4 linked regions of the Danio rerio genome follow. The main gene of each other region encodes a partner of the protein of the gene in region 4 in a complex. Links are inferred from orthologs where the notes say so. Each region holds a gene or a part of one and is shown on either strand. Other genes may lie near its edges.

Region 1 (4,070 bases), on a different chromosome or scaffold from region 4:
ACATAGAATTTTTTTGCAAATAATTCCTTTCTGAAATATAATTATTATATAATAATAAAATTATTATGGAGAATGTCCAAGATGTCCTAAAATCAACTTTACCTCATTCTCAGTCAAGCAAATTTAAAATATTTAAATTCACATTTTAATTCATGTTGAATTATTTTCATATCTACGTAAAAAGCTTTGTATTCATAAACTGAATCATAATGGCACAAACTGAACTGACGAAGCAAAAGAAAGATGGATTTTAAAACGTCTTATTATTTCATAATATACTATGTTATATGTAGCCTATGTAGCCAGAGGGGGTTCAGAAAAAAAAACCCTTACTGACAAATGTGCAGAATTTTTCCCATTCATGAGCTCATATGTCGTATTTTGACTGCTACATGCCATCATAAATAGTAAAAATAACCAATTAAAAAGGCATAATCCTCTGTTGGCTGTTGCTTCGGTGTGACTTCAGCAAATCAGTCTTGGTCAATGCTAACAAATGTTTTTGATGATCAACATCTAGCTGTGTAGGAAATCACACAATCTGACATAAGTGACGTCATCTTTCGCTACTGTTTGTAAACAGAGAAAACGTTTTACAAGTAACTTTTGTTCTAAATCTTGGAACTTATCTTGAAACTAAAAATGAGCAATAAAAAGGGTGGCCTATAGTAAAATTGATTTGAATACTAATTAGGCTATTGTTATCCTTAATTTTCAAATGCACTTTTTAACATGTAAGGCTAGAAAATTGTAAAGCTTTTATTATTATTATTTTTTATTATTGAAATGGCCAAATTCTGACTGAAGAAATTGAATGTGCTGGCTAGATTGTTATTTGCCTAATAAATGACACTAGACAATAGTTTTTAACTTAAAACTTTTTCAGATTCCTAATGTATTTTTAAAAAGCTAAATCATGATTCATAACTGAACTGACGATATTGCTCAAACAAATTGACGAGTCTTGTGGAACCACACTTTAAAACGAACTGTTCAAATGAACCGATTCGCGAAAATGAATCTCATTTCTCAATACTGTCAAAAACTAAACTAACTACCTACTAATACAGTATTTCTGAAAGACACGCTATCAGTCGACTAGTCTAAAACGAGTTTTCAGCAAAACATTTAAATGACTTTGTAATAATAAAGTAAAAGCTAGCCGTTCAGAAAACTGTTGTGAGCTCGGCGGGTTTGCTTCGCAACAGAGGCGGGGCGCTGATGCCTTGCGTGTCCGCGCGCGCCTGACAATAAAGTTTTTTCTAACAGTCCAGTTAGCCTGCTGGAGAATGGGTAGCATTACTGATGGTAAGATTTTCCTTTGTTTTATTTTTCTTAACTATCATGTAATTGTAATTTATGTAGCAAATCTGAAGGAATTATTACAGTAGCGTACGTCCATGTTTTTATTTCCTGGAAACTAAACGAACTCCTTTGAAATGTCTACATGAGGAGTCTTAGCTAACAGTTAGTTAGCCACATGCTAAAACTGATTAACTAAAACAAGTTACAAGATGTATAAGTATAATTTATTACGCTGACTTTGGTTTTGGATAGGCATTACAGTGATATAAAATATATTGGTAAGTATAATATGTAAATACGATAATATGAAAATTTGATGGCACCCTTCTGACACTTTTCAATGTTGGATCAATCAGTTAAATCAAGCATCAAGGTTGGAAAATAAACTGATTTTTTGCTGAATTTAGAGATTTACTTTGTTTCAAAAATAATCAAGCAGAATATATATATATATATATATATATATATATATATATATATATATATATATATATATATATATATATATATATATATTGTTCCACATTTAGTCACTGAATACAATTTACAGTATAATATCTGTGCTATGCTATTTAGACCTATATTTAGACTAAATAATATCTATGTCTCCTCCCTCACAGATGAGGTTATTCGGAAGCGTCTTCTGATCGATGGAGATGGAGCTGGAGATGACAGACGCATTAATGTGCTCATGAAGAGCTTCACCAAATGGTGCCACTCCAGTTTCTCACCAGAGGAGGGGTAATTTACATTCTGGTTTAACTTTATATACCTGACTTGATAAGATTTTTTTTTTCTTTTCCTTTAAAATATTCCACTGATTAGTTACCACGACCTTGGGTGTAATTACTTTATCATTCATATGTGTCTGCAGGATGTCTCAGTATCAAAGAATGATGATGTCCTTGGCTCAGTGTGAATTCTCCATGGGGAAAACCTTGCTTGTGTACAACATGAACCTGAAAGAAATGGAGAATTATGAAGGAATCTATACCGATATTGGTAAGACTTCTTGTTGACTTCCCTGCTTTTTTCTTTTGGGTTGATTGGATTATATGCTGACAAGGGAGACACATTCCTGTTTGCACTCATTGTTTTAATCTACATCTTTTGACTATATTAAATATTACTTTGAGGGCAGGATATTAGGCATGGGCCGGTATATGTTTCTGACAATATTATAACCTTGGATAAAAATATCACGGACACATGGTATTGTGATTACTGCTCTGAATTATATTCTTTTTAAATGTCTGGGTAAAAACAAAAACTTTGAACACTATATTTTACTTTGATAAAGATTTAAAGTATTTTGGAGCAGTGAATATGCCAGGCTAAATAATTCAAAATGAATCATTGATTTCTTTCCAATTTAAAACAACCTCTTTGGATATCTTTTCTGCTGGAGATACTGTTGTTCTGAACTCTATTTATACCGTAGCAAGAGTAAAGCAGAAATTTAGGACTTTACTTTTCCAATGCGCAGTATACCTTGAAAACGGTTATCATCCCATGCCTACAGGATAAAAGGGTGGGTGTTTGTGTAAGCTTTTTCAATTATTTCTAATATCGCAAAATAACCTTGCATAATAGAAAATGATACAGAGTGCTGCAGCCTTCATTTCTGCTCTGGTGGCTACAAAACTACACCAAATTCAGATCAGTGTGTTAAATCTGTGAATTGTTTATCGTAGACTCTCTTTGATCAAATAATTTGAATCAGTGAATCATTCAAGGGAGATACTCAGACTGAAAACATCATTCAAATCAGTTATTTGTTGACTCGTAAACATGTCTATCCAATTCGCAAATTAATTGTTCAGTGCAATTTGTGAATTGATTTAACTGGCTAACTGATAAAATTCAGCTTGTTCACGAATCAAGTTGGATTCAAAAGTGCAGTATTTTGTTTTGTATTCTGATTTTCAATCAGAACTTTTCAATCTGCCTTTTATCAGTGATTTTTATGGCGAGTTCAGACTGCATGATTTTCAAAGTAGTCATGTCACAGATGTTTTCACCCTGTATGACTGTCGGGGGTAGTATTTCATCGCTGCTTTGTTTACCCTGCAAGATGGATTGGCAACGGGGGGTTCACACTGTATGATTTAGAATAGGAAGAATTGGCGACAACTTTGTCCCGGTCTACAAACTACATCTCAAAACCAAGCACAGAAGAAGTGACATGGAAATAATGTAGTATATCTTTTGTCATGAACTATATAATGAGAATAAAGCCTTTAGTGGGGTAGAAAATTTACTTATTTTGCTCACTTGGCCTTTAATAGGAATTAGCAATTTCTCCTCAACTTTTTCTTTTTCGACCCGGTTGCTCAGATGACACTTCAAACAGAAACGGGTGCTCCTGCCAAATTTACACTAGTTGTTCCTCCATTTTTTGGGGTCCAAATAGACAAAATAGAAGCACTTTTAACTTGTTCCCCAACCTCCCGCTGGCCTGCAGATTTCACACGGCATGATTTGAATCGTCGACAGATCCAGCTGTTTAGCACACTGAATATCTCACATGTGTCTACGACACATCACCGATTCTCTCCGATTGTGTCTTTGATAGTTCATACTGTGTGGTTGATACTTGCGTGAATGAGTACCTATTTGCCTGTGATTTCAGGCATTTTTTGCAATTTCTTGAAACCTGTTGTCGAGTCAAAAATCAGGGCTAAAATCATGCAGTTTGAATTTGGCATTATTTTGCTGAGTGTTCTGTATTTTTATAGTTATTATTTTTTTGTATTTTTTTTTGT
Region 2 (4,159 bases), on a different chromosome or scaffold from region 4:
TGGATTGACCATGGACTCTGCCCGCGAACTGATGTCCTCTTTACCAAAAACACTGATGACAAAACTACTTACACAAAGTACACAGAAAATAAACTTTATTTTTATATGTAGCTACTCCTGACTTTCTAAAGTTCCTACAACCATCCAAAGTAGCCTACCACAGTGACCTGACTTTGAGTTCTTCCATTACACGAGAAGACAATTTAACAAACAACATAAAACACAGTAGGCCACTGACTGAAGTTTAAATGATCTGATTTATAAATGAGGCTTTTGGCTTAAATTATATATAGCTCATATTCCATGATTTTGACATTTGACAGTTTTGACATTTTTATTTATCTCAATGTTTTCAAAGCTTTTTGCCTATAGCCTAGCCTAGTTTACTTAGATTTGGTAGACCTATGATTGTACTTCACACTTATATGAACTTTTGGCATAATACAAACCTTTTGTTTCATTTTTATGAGATATAATATAATTTTGACCTTCTCTTAATTGACCATTATTTGATTTAGGATTTTCATCTCACAATGTTTACCCCATCATTTCAACTTATTTATCACATTCATAACAAATTAGCACATTTTCATATTTTGTCATTTTTTTAACCTAATAGCAATTTTTACAAAAAAAAATAATAAAATTTCTTCACTGTTAACTGTTTATCTCATAATGTTTACTTTTGTGATTTTTTTTTCATTTTATATCATCATTTTAAATTTAAGATTTGTATCCCTAGTGAAACTGCTGATCATATATTTGTTTTTTATTTGCCCTCATGCACAATGCTTTTGGATTGAACTTTTTTTTGGTTATTCATTGCAAAATACTAATTCGTGTTATCTTTTAAGGATATCCTGTTGGGTTTTTTCAATATTCCCGATAATAAAAGTAAGGAGTGTTTCATAATTAATCTCCTTTTAATCCTTGCTAAATTCCATATACACAGCTGTAAATTCTCTCACTCTAGGCTATATTTTGTTTTAATATTTTTGAAAAGGAACTTCAACAGTACATTAAAACTATTGCTTCCTTAAAACACATGATTTTATAATATGTGTTGTTTGTTTTTTAGTAAATTTTTTCCCTTGTATGTGCTTATTTGATGTTTTACTTCTCTGTAAAACTCATGTGCTCTCTTTGTAACAAATGTATGATGATGTTATTGTTACCCTGACAATAATAAAACTAAAAAAAGAAAAGAAAGTTATTTGTATCAGACTTTTTTAAACAATATTATGTAATTGCACTCCCGTACACTAGGTGTCGGTAAGTAACGCAATGCCACAGATTAAGCTTAAATACGCGACGAAGCAGAACTTCAAGCATGGCGTCCTCGTACTATCAGGAGATGCAGGAGGTGTTCAGGAATAACAATAAAAGCAGAGAGTTCCCGGCTCACAGTGCTAAAGTGCACTCGGTGGCCTGGAGCTGTGATGGAAAACGACTGGCGTCCGGTTCGTTTGACAAAACTGCCAGCGTATTTGTCCTGGAAAAAGACCGACTGGTGAGCTTTGTCTTCTCCATCATCCTTCGTTGTCCAAAACATATATTTAATTTATAAACCACGTTCTGCGTAGAACAAGCTGTTTAACATTTAATCTGTAAACTAAACTAGTATCAGTTTTATGCTACTAACGTTAATACCTATTTTTAGATATGTGTGTCTTTTTCATTAAGTACTGATACGTATTCAGTACACTTGTTGATATTTAGCCAACAGTTATTATTTAGCTACTACTACAAGTTAGTTTTCATTAGATGAATTTTAGATTCATTTTAGACAATAAATTAGACACTCGTAGCTATTAAATAGGTACTACTCATTAATTAGACACGTATGAATAGTATATTTTTGTTTAAATACTATTTACTCATCATCACACACTTGTTCTCATTTATTTCATACTAGTATTTATTTCAAAAGTGTCAAGTAACTACTTCTATCGCAGTCTGTTATTGGAATGTGAGGTTTTTAATAATTGTCTAGTACATATTTTTACTATGACTAGTTATTCTGCAAGTACTGATATTTGGGTGGATTTTATTGGAAATAAGGGCTTTTTCAATATGTACTAGTGTATAATTGTTAGACACACAAAGTGATCACGCTCTACAATAAGGTTCCATTGATAATGTTAACTAATTTACCAGCATAACCTAATAATAAACAAAACTTGTACAGCACTTCCATTCAGGCATTGGACAATAACCGTTTTCAAGGTATACCACGGTTAGGAAAAGTCAAGGTTTTAAAACCTCCAACATTTTCTTCTATACCATTCCTATGGTATATGTACGATTTTTTTTAATTTATGGTTTTTGTTGTTGTTGTTTTAGGACAACAGTGTGTCCAGCAGAAAAGATATGCAAACTTGTTTTACATGTTTACTGTTTTAAAATATTTAAAGTCTTTCTCAAAATAAAATATATTGTGTTCAAAGGGGGAAAAAGTTTTTAGTCTTTTACCCTGACATTTAAAAATAATATATTTTAGAACAGTAATCACAATACCGTCAAACCGGGATATTTTTGTCCAAGGTTATCTTACTGTCAGAATCTTATACCTACAATCCCATGCCTACAAAAATCTAAAACAGCTCTCATCTCCTGATGCAAAACAGCGCTCATCTCCTGATGCAAAACAGCACTTGTTAACATTAGTAAATGCACTGTGAGTTGGCAAGAACCAACAATGAGGCTTATTTTCAGTAAAAAACATTAACAAAGATGTATAAATACTGTTTGTTGTTTTTCATTATAGTAACCTCATTATCTAATGAAACCTTATTGTAAAGTTGTACTGTCATATCTAATAAATGCTTTGTTTTTATTTAGAAAGCAGTATTTACTTATTAGATACTCCATCATTTATTAGAAACTCATTCTTATTACAAGTACCTCTTTAACAGATGCTAGTAGTTATTTATTGTATCCTAGTACTCATTTATTTGGCACAAGTATTTTTATGTAGTTGTTATGAGTTGCTACTAGTATTACGAGTCACTACTGATTTTTATTTTTTATTTTTACTTGTCACATTTTGACTATTTTGGATGACTGTATAAGTGTTCAATTAAACATGTGCTAGTTAAATAAAGATATAATAAACATGAGTAGATGGCGTTGTATGTACTAGTATCTTTTCAGTATGTACTTAATGAATAAGAACTAGTTTCTAATGATAATCGGTAGCTAATGAATTACTACCAGTTTATAAACATTGTCACAATCGGAATACATTGTGAAAACTGACATCTTGTGACAATTGTGACATCTCAATGACAGACCTGTACAGAAGTCAATGGCAAATACCTAATCAAGTTACTAATTAATTTAATGTCTGCAAAATTACTTATCATTTCATTGACATTATGCATATTAATTATGTTTTAGCTGCAATAACAAGCTTTTATAGGTCATCCATTTGCCAAAAACATTACTATACTTATTCTATATCAGAAAAAACGGTTAATATTCACAGCATTGGCTACAATGCGGTTTATTATTTTACAATTTATTTGTCTTGACTAGATGTGATCTAGCTCATGTATTATCATATGTATTAGGTGAAGGAAAACAACTACCGTGGGCATGGAGACAGTGTGGATCAGCTGTGCTGGCATCCCACCAACCCTGATCTGTTCGTTACTGCATCAGGAGACAAGACCATCCGCATCTGGGATGTGCGGACCACCAAATGCATGGCCACAGTCAGCACAAAAGGTGAAGCTCTAAAGCTTAAAGTGATAGTTTACACAAAAATGAATACTCTCTCATCATTTACCCACCATTGAACACAAAATATAACATTTTAAAGAACATTGGAAATCGTTACTTATTGACTACCGTAGTATTTGTTTTTCATTTTATGGATGGCAATTTCCAACATTTTTCTAAACATCTTCTGTTGTTTTTAACAGACAAAATAAACTCAACTTTAGAAACTCTTGAGGATTGAGCTATGGCTTTCAATGTTATATGTTTTATTCTTGTGAGATTATATTATTTATTGGTTTATTGATTGTCTGACTATGTTTAGGGGAGAATATCAACATTTGCTGGAGTCCTGATGGTCAGACCATCGCTGTAGGTAACAAGGATGATGTTGTAACGTTCATTGATGCCAAAACACACCGTCCACGTGCTGAGGAGC
Region 3 (3,568 bases), on a different chromosome or scaffold from region 4:
TGATCAGAACGCGCGCCACAACACAGCTGATCAGAACGCGCGCGACAGCACCGCTATTCAGCACGCGCGCGGCGACAACACCCGCTTTAGGTTCGATCATTTCCATCTTTTTTTCATCTCCGCTACTAGCAGCACACTCCATTTCCGCATTACTGGATCTGTAGCGACAACAGACCGCAAAGGATTATGGCCACGCCGGGGCTGATGGGAAATGAAGTTTCAGCTACGTCCCGTTCGCTTCATTCGCCTGAGCAAATTTTCTCAGGAGACCTATAGTTTTACCGAGTCATGCGACTTCGGTAATATCGAAAAAAATTAATATTGCGGTATGACGGTATTTACAATACCGTTACATCCCTAATACATACGTTAATGTTTTATATATATATATATATATATATATATATATATATATATATATATTATATACTGTATTATGTTTGTCTAGTTTTAATTTGTTATTGGTTCTTTTGCTAGGAATGTGGTAATTACCCAGGGTTCCTGACTATTTTCCGAGCCAGTGGTTTCGACGGAGGGAACAAAGCAGATCAATTGGACTATGAGAATTTTCGACATGTTGTCCACAAATGGCATTACAAGTTGACTAAAGTGAGTATTTTACTATACGATTTTTATTACTCATATAACAAAATTGTTTTGTTACTTTCACACCAGAGGCTTGTTGTATTGTGCAAGAACCCACTTTTCTTAGCTTCACATAATAGGAATTTTTGTTAAAGGAACATTTTAACTAAATTAAAAAGAACTAAATTTATTCAGCCTAGCTTTAGCTTGTGTGCTAGGTTTTTTCCTATGCACCTAATTAAAGCTAAGTGAGGCATTTACTAAGACCTCTTACTGTAGCATCTACTCATGATGCTTATGTATAAATTGTACTCAAAGTGTCTACAGACAACTCTTGGCAAGACAAACAAGATCTCATTTTTTAAAAACTGTATCGTTTAGGAAGTAAGATAAGATTCCAGTTCCCCATAAATCATTTTTTAGCAAAAACCAGATGAGACTCTAGACAGCATATTTGAATATGCTTAAATCATGGCCAGGTGGATCTCTCCAATCAAAAATGTTTTTTCCTGAACAAAGAGGCTGTTGACACCCAGTCACTTCATGTATATTTTTTTCTAATCAGATAGCTATTCAGTCAATATATGGGCAGGCGTAAATGCCCTCTGAAATGCATTGGAGATGGATATTAATCCAATTGCTCAGACCACTTCAAAAGGTGCTCTGGGATGCATTTCAGACGATACTGGACAGGTCTAAATGCATCTGGTTATTGAAACCAAATTTTTTTTTCTCTCTCCATCAAAAAAAAATATATATATGATCTGAGCACTTGTTGGCTATATGGCCATCAGATATACACACACAAATGCATGAGCAACTGAAGGCCACAGGTTACAGTTTGAGAACTTTGTTTTACATTACATTTTACATTTATATTTTTTGTTATGTTTTATTTTTGACTCAAAAGTTGAAATTAAATTGTTTAGCATCAAATGACAGTATTAACAACAGTAGCATGCACGTGTAGCCTATCTTTGTGAAAAAAAGTTTAATAATAACATAAAAATATAGTACTGGATTCATTTACAAAGGCACATTGTTCTGTTTTTGGCAGAGTATATCATACAGAAATAAATTTAAACCCTTTACAGTTTTGAATGATGTCTTGCATGTATCAGTATGACAAACATAGATTTATTTAGATTATAAAGTAATCACGGAGCATGCCTTGTGCTCTTGTAATGATGTTTTACAGCCTGCCTATAAAATAATTTGAATTGATTTGTTCATCCTTAAACTTCTGATTTTTCCCTCAGGCATCTGTTCACTGTCTAGAAACGGGTGAGTACACCCACATTCGCAACATTCTGATCGTGCTTACCAAGATCCTACCCTGGTACCCCAAGGTGCTGAACCTAGGCCAGGCTTTGGAGTGTCGCGTTCACAAGATCTGCCAGGAAGAGAAGGAGAAGAGGCCTGATCTCTATGCATTAGCCATGGGGTAACTGAGCCGAGCGCCATCTGGCCTCAGCACTTAGAAGTGTTTTCACCAAACTGGTTTAGAGTGTTCACTGGGATTTAGGATGTTAGATCAGGGATGTGTGAAGTTAGGCCTGGAGGGTTGTGTCCTGCAGAATGATGTCCAACACTAATCAAACACACCTGAACAAGCTGATCAATGTATTCAAGATCGCTGGTAAATCATAGGCAGGTGTGTTTGATTAGGATTGGAGCTAAACCTTGCAGGAGCTCGGCCATCCAGGACTGGCTTTGCCCATCCCTGATCTAGAGATGGTGGTAGTTTTTCATGTTTTAATTGTATTTATTTTTTTGGAAGTTTTAAGGGTGGCTTTTTTCTAAAAATTTGAAGTCATCTAGTTCAGGGGTTCCCAAATATTTCAGCCTGCAACACCGAAAATAACAATGCCATTGATTCGCAAAAATTATAATCATAATTTTCAGCTCTAATAATAGTTTTATACAATTAAATTGGTGTTTCAAAGTTTCTCAGCTATTTTGAATGTTCAGTCCTTTTTGTTAGATTATCCCCAAATTTGCTAAAGTTGATATTGGCTTATTTTCGTTTTCCCAAACATTTTCATTTTAATGTGCTGAAAGTTTTGTGGGCAAAATGCAGTCATTCCATTAGGACCACATAGGACCACAGTTAGACTGAAATAATATTCAGATGCTAATCATTTCTCAGCGGTGACATAGGGGGTTTTCACCATTTACAGGGGTTGTTGGTGATTTTAAAGCTGTTGTTATTTCTGTCCGAATCCAGAATGCAAGTTTACAGAGTTAATATTCCTTAGGAGTCACATCAGTTTTTATTTTATTTTTTTATTTTTTTATTTATCACTTGGTTTGAACAGTTCTTGTGGCTTAAAGTTGACGTTGTAGACCTAAGATGATTAGATGTACCTTCTAAATGAAGATCTTGTTTTGGTCACTTTATTTTAAGGTACAATTCCTGCTATTAACAAACCATTAAGGCATGTAACTCAGTTAAAGTACTAATTTGTTGCTCAGTAATAGTAAAGTATTATTTGAGTTTTAGGAATTTGTAGGATTAGGGATTGCATTAAGTACTAAAAAGCTATTATCTTATAAGCCAGAAGTTAATAGTAAAAATGGGTACCTAAACTAAAATGTTTACCTTATTTGTTGTTTACTTATTTTATTTTTTTAACAATCCTCTGTTCCTGTATGTGTTTTGTTCCTACCCCACTAGGATTTATCATTGCACCTTATCTTATTGAACTTATTGGCCATATTCTTTGTTTTTCTTTATAGACCCAATCAAAAAGAGAAAAATCCTTGTGTGAAAATCCAAAAACTTTTTAAAATACAGCAATTTATGCGTAGTCCACACTGCATGCTTTAGCTCTGCTTTTTCATTAACCAACAGGAGGCAAATAATTTTTATTAATTGGAGGCAAATAGGTGCTTGTTCATGCAACAGATAGTCACGCAGTGTGAATAGTCAAAGACACGATCTGAAAGAATCACTGACTTGTTACAGATGCCCAGGAAATAT
Region 4 (4,062 bases):
CTATCTACCTATTGAGAGAAATGCAGCATGCACAATTTAAACATTCAAATGATTTTTTTTATTACCAAATAAGCAGAAACAAAAGTTATACATTTTTTAATAAGCATACATAAACCACTTTTGTATCTACTTTTTAGACTAAAATTAAAACATGTTGGAGAAGAGAAAAAAAGAAGAAAAAAAGTGAATACCACATGATCATTCATGTTAATGATGTCTAGAAAGAGGGCATCACAGTGGCACAGTAGGTAGCACAATCACTTCACAGCAAGGTCCCTGTTTCAAGCTTCAGCTGAGTCAGTTGGCATTTTTGTGTGGCGTTTGCATGTTCTCCCCATGTTCACATGGGTTTCCTCCGGGTGCTCTCGTTTGCCCCAGAAGTCCAAAGACATGCGGTACAGGTGAATTGGGTAAGCTAAATTGGCCGCAGAGTATGCGTGTATATGTATGGATGGATGTTTCCCGGTGATGAAAATGAATGTCTAGAATGATAATGTCCTCCAGAGCACAAGATCTTATTAGCCAAGATTTATTCGATGCCAAAAGAAAAAAGAAAAAAAAGTTTGTGGGTTACAATATAGTTAAAACATTTTTTGACAAAAACAAGACTGTATGTAATGAATAAAAGTTCTACCTTAAAAAATACTAAATAAAAATATAATAATAAAAAGGTAAGTGACGTGTAGAACATTACAGTCATTAACATCTGTTCATTTACACAAGCCACATTTTTACCACAGAGTCATCAAATGTCATTTGGAGTTCACTGTTCACACATTTAGGCCATTTTCAGAATTTCAGCCAAAAATAGCAGAGGTACAATCTCTTATTACAGTTCAATCAACAACAAAATTCCTTCACTTAACAGCCAACATTTTTCCTAACAGGCCCTCTGTTTTAGAACTATAACTTGTGATGAGGATTTGTGATTGTATTCAGAAGCCGCGAGTGAAAACTCTCAAATCTCTGAATGTAACTGGGATAAATTCATAACTTTGTACAAACTTCAAGTCTGAACGCCTTAAAATGTAAATGTCTTAGGGAGTGTCCAACAGCAGCGGAAGCTTAAACGGTACTGGATGATTATGTCATCGATCAGTCTATTATTTGCAGATCTTTGGGAGCTGCTGTGTCTCAGCTCAACAGGGTCTACTCCATACTCTCAGGATCTGCCTGGGCCATATACGCATCCAACTCTGCATCCAGATGGCCTTTGGTTTTAGACATGTACGCATCAAGCTGGTTGTCCAACTGCTCGCGTGTGACGATGGGACGACCTGCTCCTCTGCCTCTGCCACGTCCACGACCCCTTCCAGCAAACCCTCCACGGCCTCTCATACCTCCACGGCCTAAGAGAGAACGAAATGCTTTAGTATGGTGAGATGGAAAATGCTTTTTGTATGGGTTTCACTGATTAGAGCAAAACTGAAAACACTACTAGCAGGGTTCTTACACCTTTTCCAACTTCAAATTCCAGCACTTTTCAAGCACTTTCAAGGTGCATTTGCATGCTTTTCCAGCACCTAATAGTAATAATTAATTGCACTTATACATGTTGTATGTACTTTTTCACATTTAAATACATTGTGCTACTTTAAAAACCACACGATATGACATTTCAACTTAAATTGAGTACTTTAGAGCATAGATTTATTGGGATAGTTCACCCAAAAGTGATTAAAAAATAAATAAAAAAATGTTCAGTTATTGGGTGAAGTATGTTTTTAAGTTTGGCCTCTTTCTACCTAAAGTTGATATCTTAAGAAATGAGCTTACAGTCAGATTTTGTTTGGGTGTAGTACCAAACTTTCAGGACCAGTCACTATTTTTTTTTTTTACAGTCTTTGGTTTTGCATTTCAGGTGCAAAAGATGCATTCTGGATGAATGTCTCCAAAATACGTATGAAGCTAATAGTGCCAAAACTATCCGAATTTGAATTGTTAATTTGAATTCCTAAAAACGTAAAACTTTATTTTTACATACCCAATATCTGCAGTCTTATTTTTACATACCCAATATCTGCATGAATTCAGAACCCAAAAAAAATCTGAAGTTTAAAAATGTCTATAAAAATCTGACTTCAAATATTAAGTTTTCAGATGTTCAATAATCAAGTTAAGAAATACAAATTCAAAACTTTTTTTAATAGGACATTCAGATTCAGAATGTTTTGGCTTATTATTAGCTCCATAAATACGCGCATGCGGTGAACATTTTGCAATGAAAACTGGTCGCACGACAACAATTTATGCACTAGCACACATGCTTCCAAATATATTTCGAGGTCACATAGATAAAATCGTGCGCATATGCAACCAAAACGGTCACAATTTTGAGCCCTTTAAGTTCAAATTCAAGCAGGTTCAAGCACTTTGTTCAAAACACAAGCACTTTTCTAACCTTAAAAACACTATATTAAAAATCAAGCATTTTCCAGGATTTCCAGCACCCGTAAGAACCCTGTACTTGGCAGAATTGTGCTTAATATTTCTCACCTCTTCCTCCAGGCATTCCACGTGCTGCACCTCGACCTCCTAGAGCTCCTCGTCCTGGAGCTCCTCCCCGATGACGCATCCCTCGGCGGAAACCCATGCGTCCAGGACCACCTCTACCTCTCATCTGACCTGCACCTAGGAAAAAAAAAAAAAAAGAGCAATCTTTTCACAAGAAGAAAAGAAAAAACACTTGTGGGATGCATGCAATAGTTCTCTTTAAGCAGGTCTGATCATATATATATATATATATATATATATATATATATATATATATATATATATATATATATATATATATATATATATATATATATATATAGAGAGAGAGAGAGAGAGAGAGAGAGAGAGAGAGAGAGAGAGAGAGAGAGAGAGAGAGAGAGAGAGAGAGAGAGAGAGAGAGAGAGAGAGAGAGAGAGAGAGAGAGAGAGAGAGAGAGATTTTGCTGCTCTGCCAGTTAAAGCACATTTGCGAACGTTCAATGACAATCTCAGTCAATTGTAATCATTTGTTATGATTCAATTTGAAATATCCACAACCATCATAGAGCCCCAGGGATTGGAGAAAGTGTGGGTTGATCTCACCCTGGTCCAAGAGCTATAACAGGGTATATGCAAGAATCCTAAAAGGTAATTTCAATACCTTTTTAAAACGGTTTAAAAGACCTTCTCGGAATATTTTAAGACCTCATCACTACTGCAAGTGCTAATCAGTATCAAACCTTTAACTTAAAGTTGCAGTAGGTGATCTTCTACAATGCTAACAGCTTAGCATAAATCTCTGAATCACAGTGCCTCCCCTGCCGTCTAAGAGCTACGCCTCCTGAAACACGAGCACCGCAAAAGAACCCTCTCTCATGTGTTAAAAACAACTAGTGCTTGTCCGGCGGCGTGCAAGCCAAACTGACATGCGATTTTAGAGGGAATATTTAGAGTTGCATGGTAAACAATATAGGGAGAGACTAGGCGTTTAGCTGTATTTACTTGTGTTTAGTTGTTAAACTAAATAAAATGTACATCATCGATGCTGTAAAAGGTCTCTTATGAAACTGAAAATAGTCTCATCAGTCCTTCATCGAAATATTTTAGTAGCTGAACAACATTTCTGTTAAGATTTAACCCATTTGTAACAACGTTACATCAGCTTTGCGTGAAGTTAAAACAGTTTTAAAACAGAACATTACTTGTCTAAGAGAAATCTTTCAGACATGTTGTCATCCTTTCTCCAGCATGCAAAGGTAACTCCAATACTGATTCAGGTTTTTAAAAAGTTTTGATTCAGCATGTTTTTACCGATCTCAGTCGGCGGAGATGCGTACAAACAGCTGCGCAGTTGTTCAAATCTGCATTTGCTTGCAAAGAGATTGTGCTACTTATCGGAATTGAGAGATGTCGGTCGGACTCCATTTAATAGGATGAACATTTTTTTGTTTTATGCCTTACCCAAAATATAAAAATACATATAAATACATTTAGATCATTTACTGTAATCATTACTATTAGACTGTGAAGAGACTTTGAACCAGCACAACAAAAAATGCTTCTGAAGACAATGACCTACTGCACCTTT

Evidence for each region.
Region 1: chtopa (region 4) and thoc7 share a complex: the UniProt entries of both Homo sapiens proteins name them as parts of the transcription/export (TREX) complex. The link is inferred for Danio rerio from reciprocal best matches to the Homo sapiens genes CHTOP and THOC7.
Region 2: chtopa (region 4) and thoc3 share a complex: the UniProt entries of both Homo sapiens proteins name them as parts of the transcription/export (TREX) complex. The link is inferred for Danio rerio from reciprocal best matches to the Homo sapiens genes CHTOP and THOC3.
Region 3: chtopa (region 4) and thoc2 share a complex: the UniProt entries of both Homo sapiens proteins name them as parts of the transcription/export (TREX) complex. The link is inferred for Danio rerio from reciprocal best matches to the Homo sapiens genes CHTOP and THOC2.

The regions. Positions count from the first base shown.
Region 1 is NC_133186.1:21,694,238-21,698,307, forward strand, and holds the start of thoc7 (THO complex subunit 7 homolog), read left to right. Parts: upstream 1-1,258; 5' UTR 1,259-1,289; coding exon 1,290-1,308; intron 1,309-1,925; coding exon 1,926-2,046; intron 2,047-2,179; coding exon 2,180-2,307; intron 2,308-4,070. UniProt on the Homo sapiens protein: Component of the THO subcomplex of the TREX complex which is thought to couple mRNA transcription, processing and nuclear export, and which specifically associates with spliced mRNA and not with unspliced pre-mRNA.
Region 2 is NC_133189.1:29,777,539-29,781,697, forward strand, and holds the start of thoc3 (THO complex subunit 3), read left to right. Parts: upstream 1-1,318; 5' UTR 1,319-1,330; coding exon 1,331-1,510; intron 1,511-3,572; coding exon 3,573-3,729; intron 3,730-4,045; coding exon 4,046-4,159. UniProt on the Homo sapiens protein: Component of the THO subcomplex of the TREX complex which is thought to couple mRNA transcription, processing and nuclear export, and which specifically associates with spliced mRNA and not with unspliced pre-mRNA.
Region 3 is NC_133189.1:13,022,124-13,025,691, forward strand, and holds part of thoc2 (THO complex subunit 2), read left to right. Parts: intron 1-477; coding exon 478-609; intron 610-1,844; coding exon 1,845-2,029; intron 2,030-3,568. UniProt on the Homo sapiens protein: Component of the THO subcomplex of the TREX complex which is thought to couple mRNA transcription, processing and nuclear export, and which specifically associates with spliced mRNA and not with unspliced pre-mRNA.
Region 4 is NC_133194.1:26,306,936-26,310,997, forward strand, and holds the end of chtopa (chromatin target of PRMT1a), read right to left. Parts: intron 2,632-4,062; coding exon 2,497-2,631; intron 1,350-2,496; coding exon 1,150-1,349; 3' UTR 514-1,149; downstream 1-513. UniProt on the Homo sapiens protein: Plays an important role in the ligand-dependent activation of estrogen receptor target genes. May play a role in the silencing of fetal globin genes.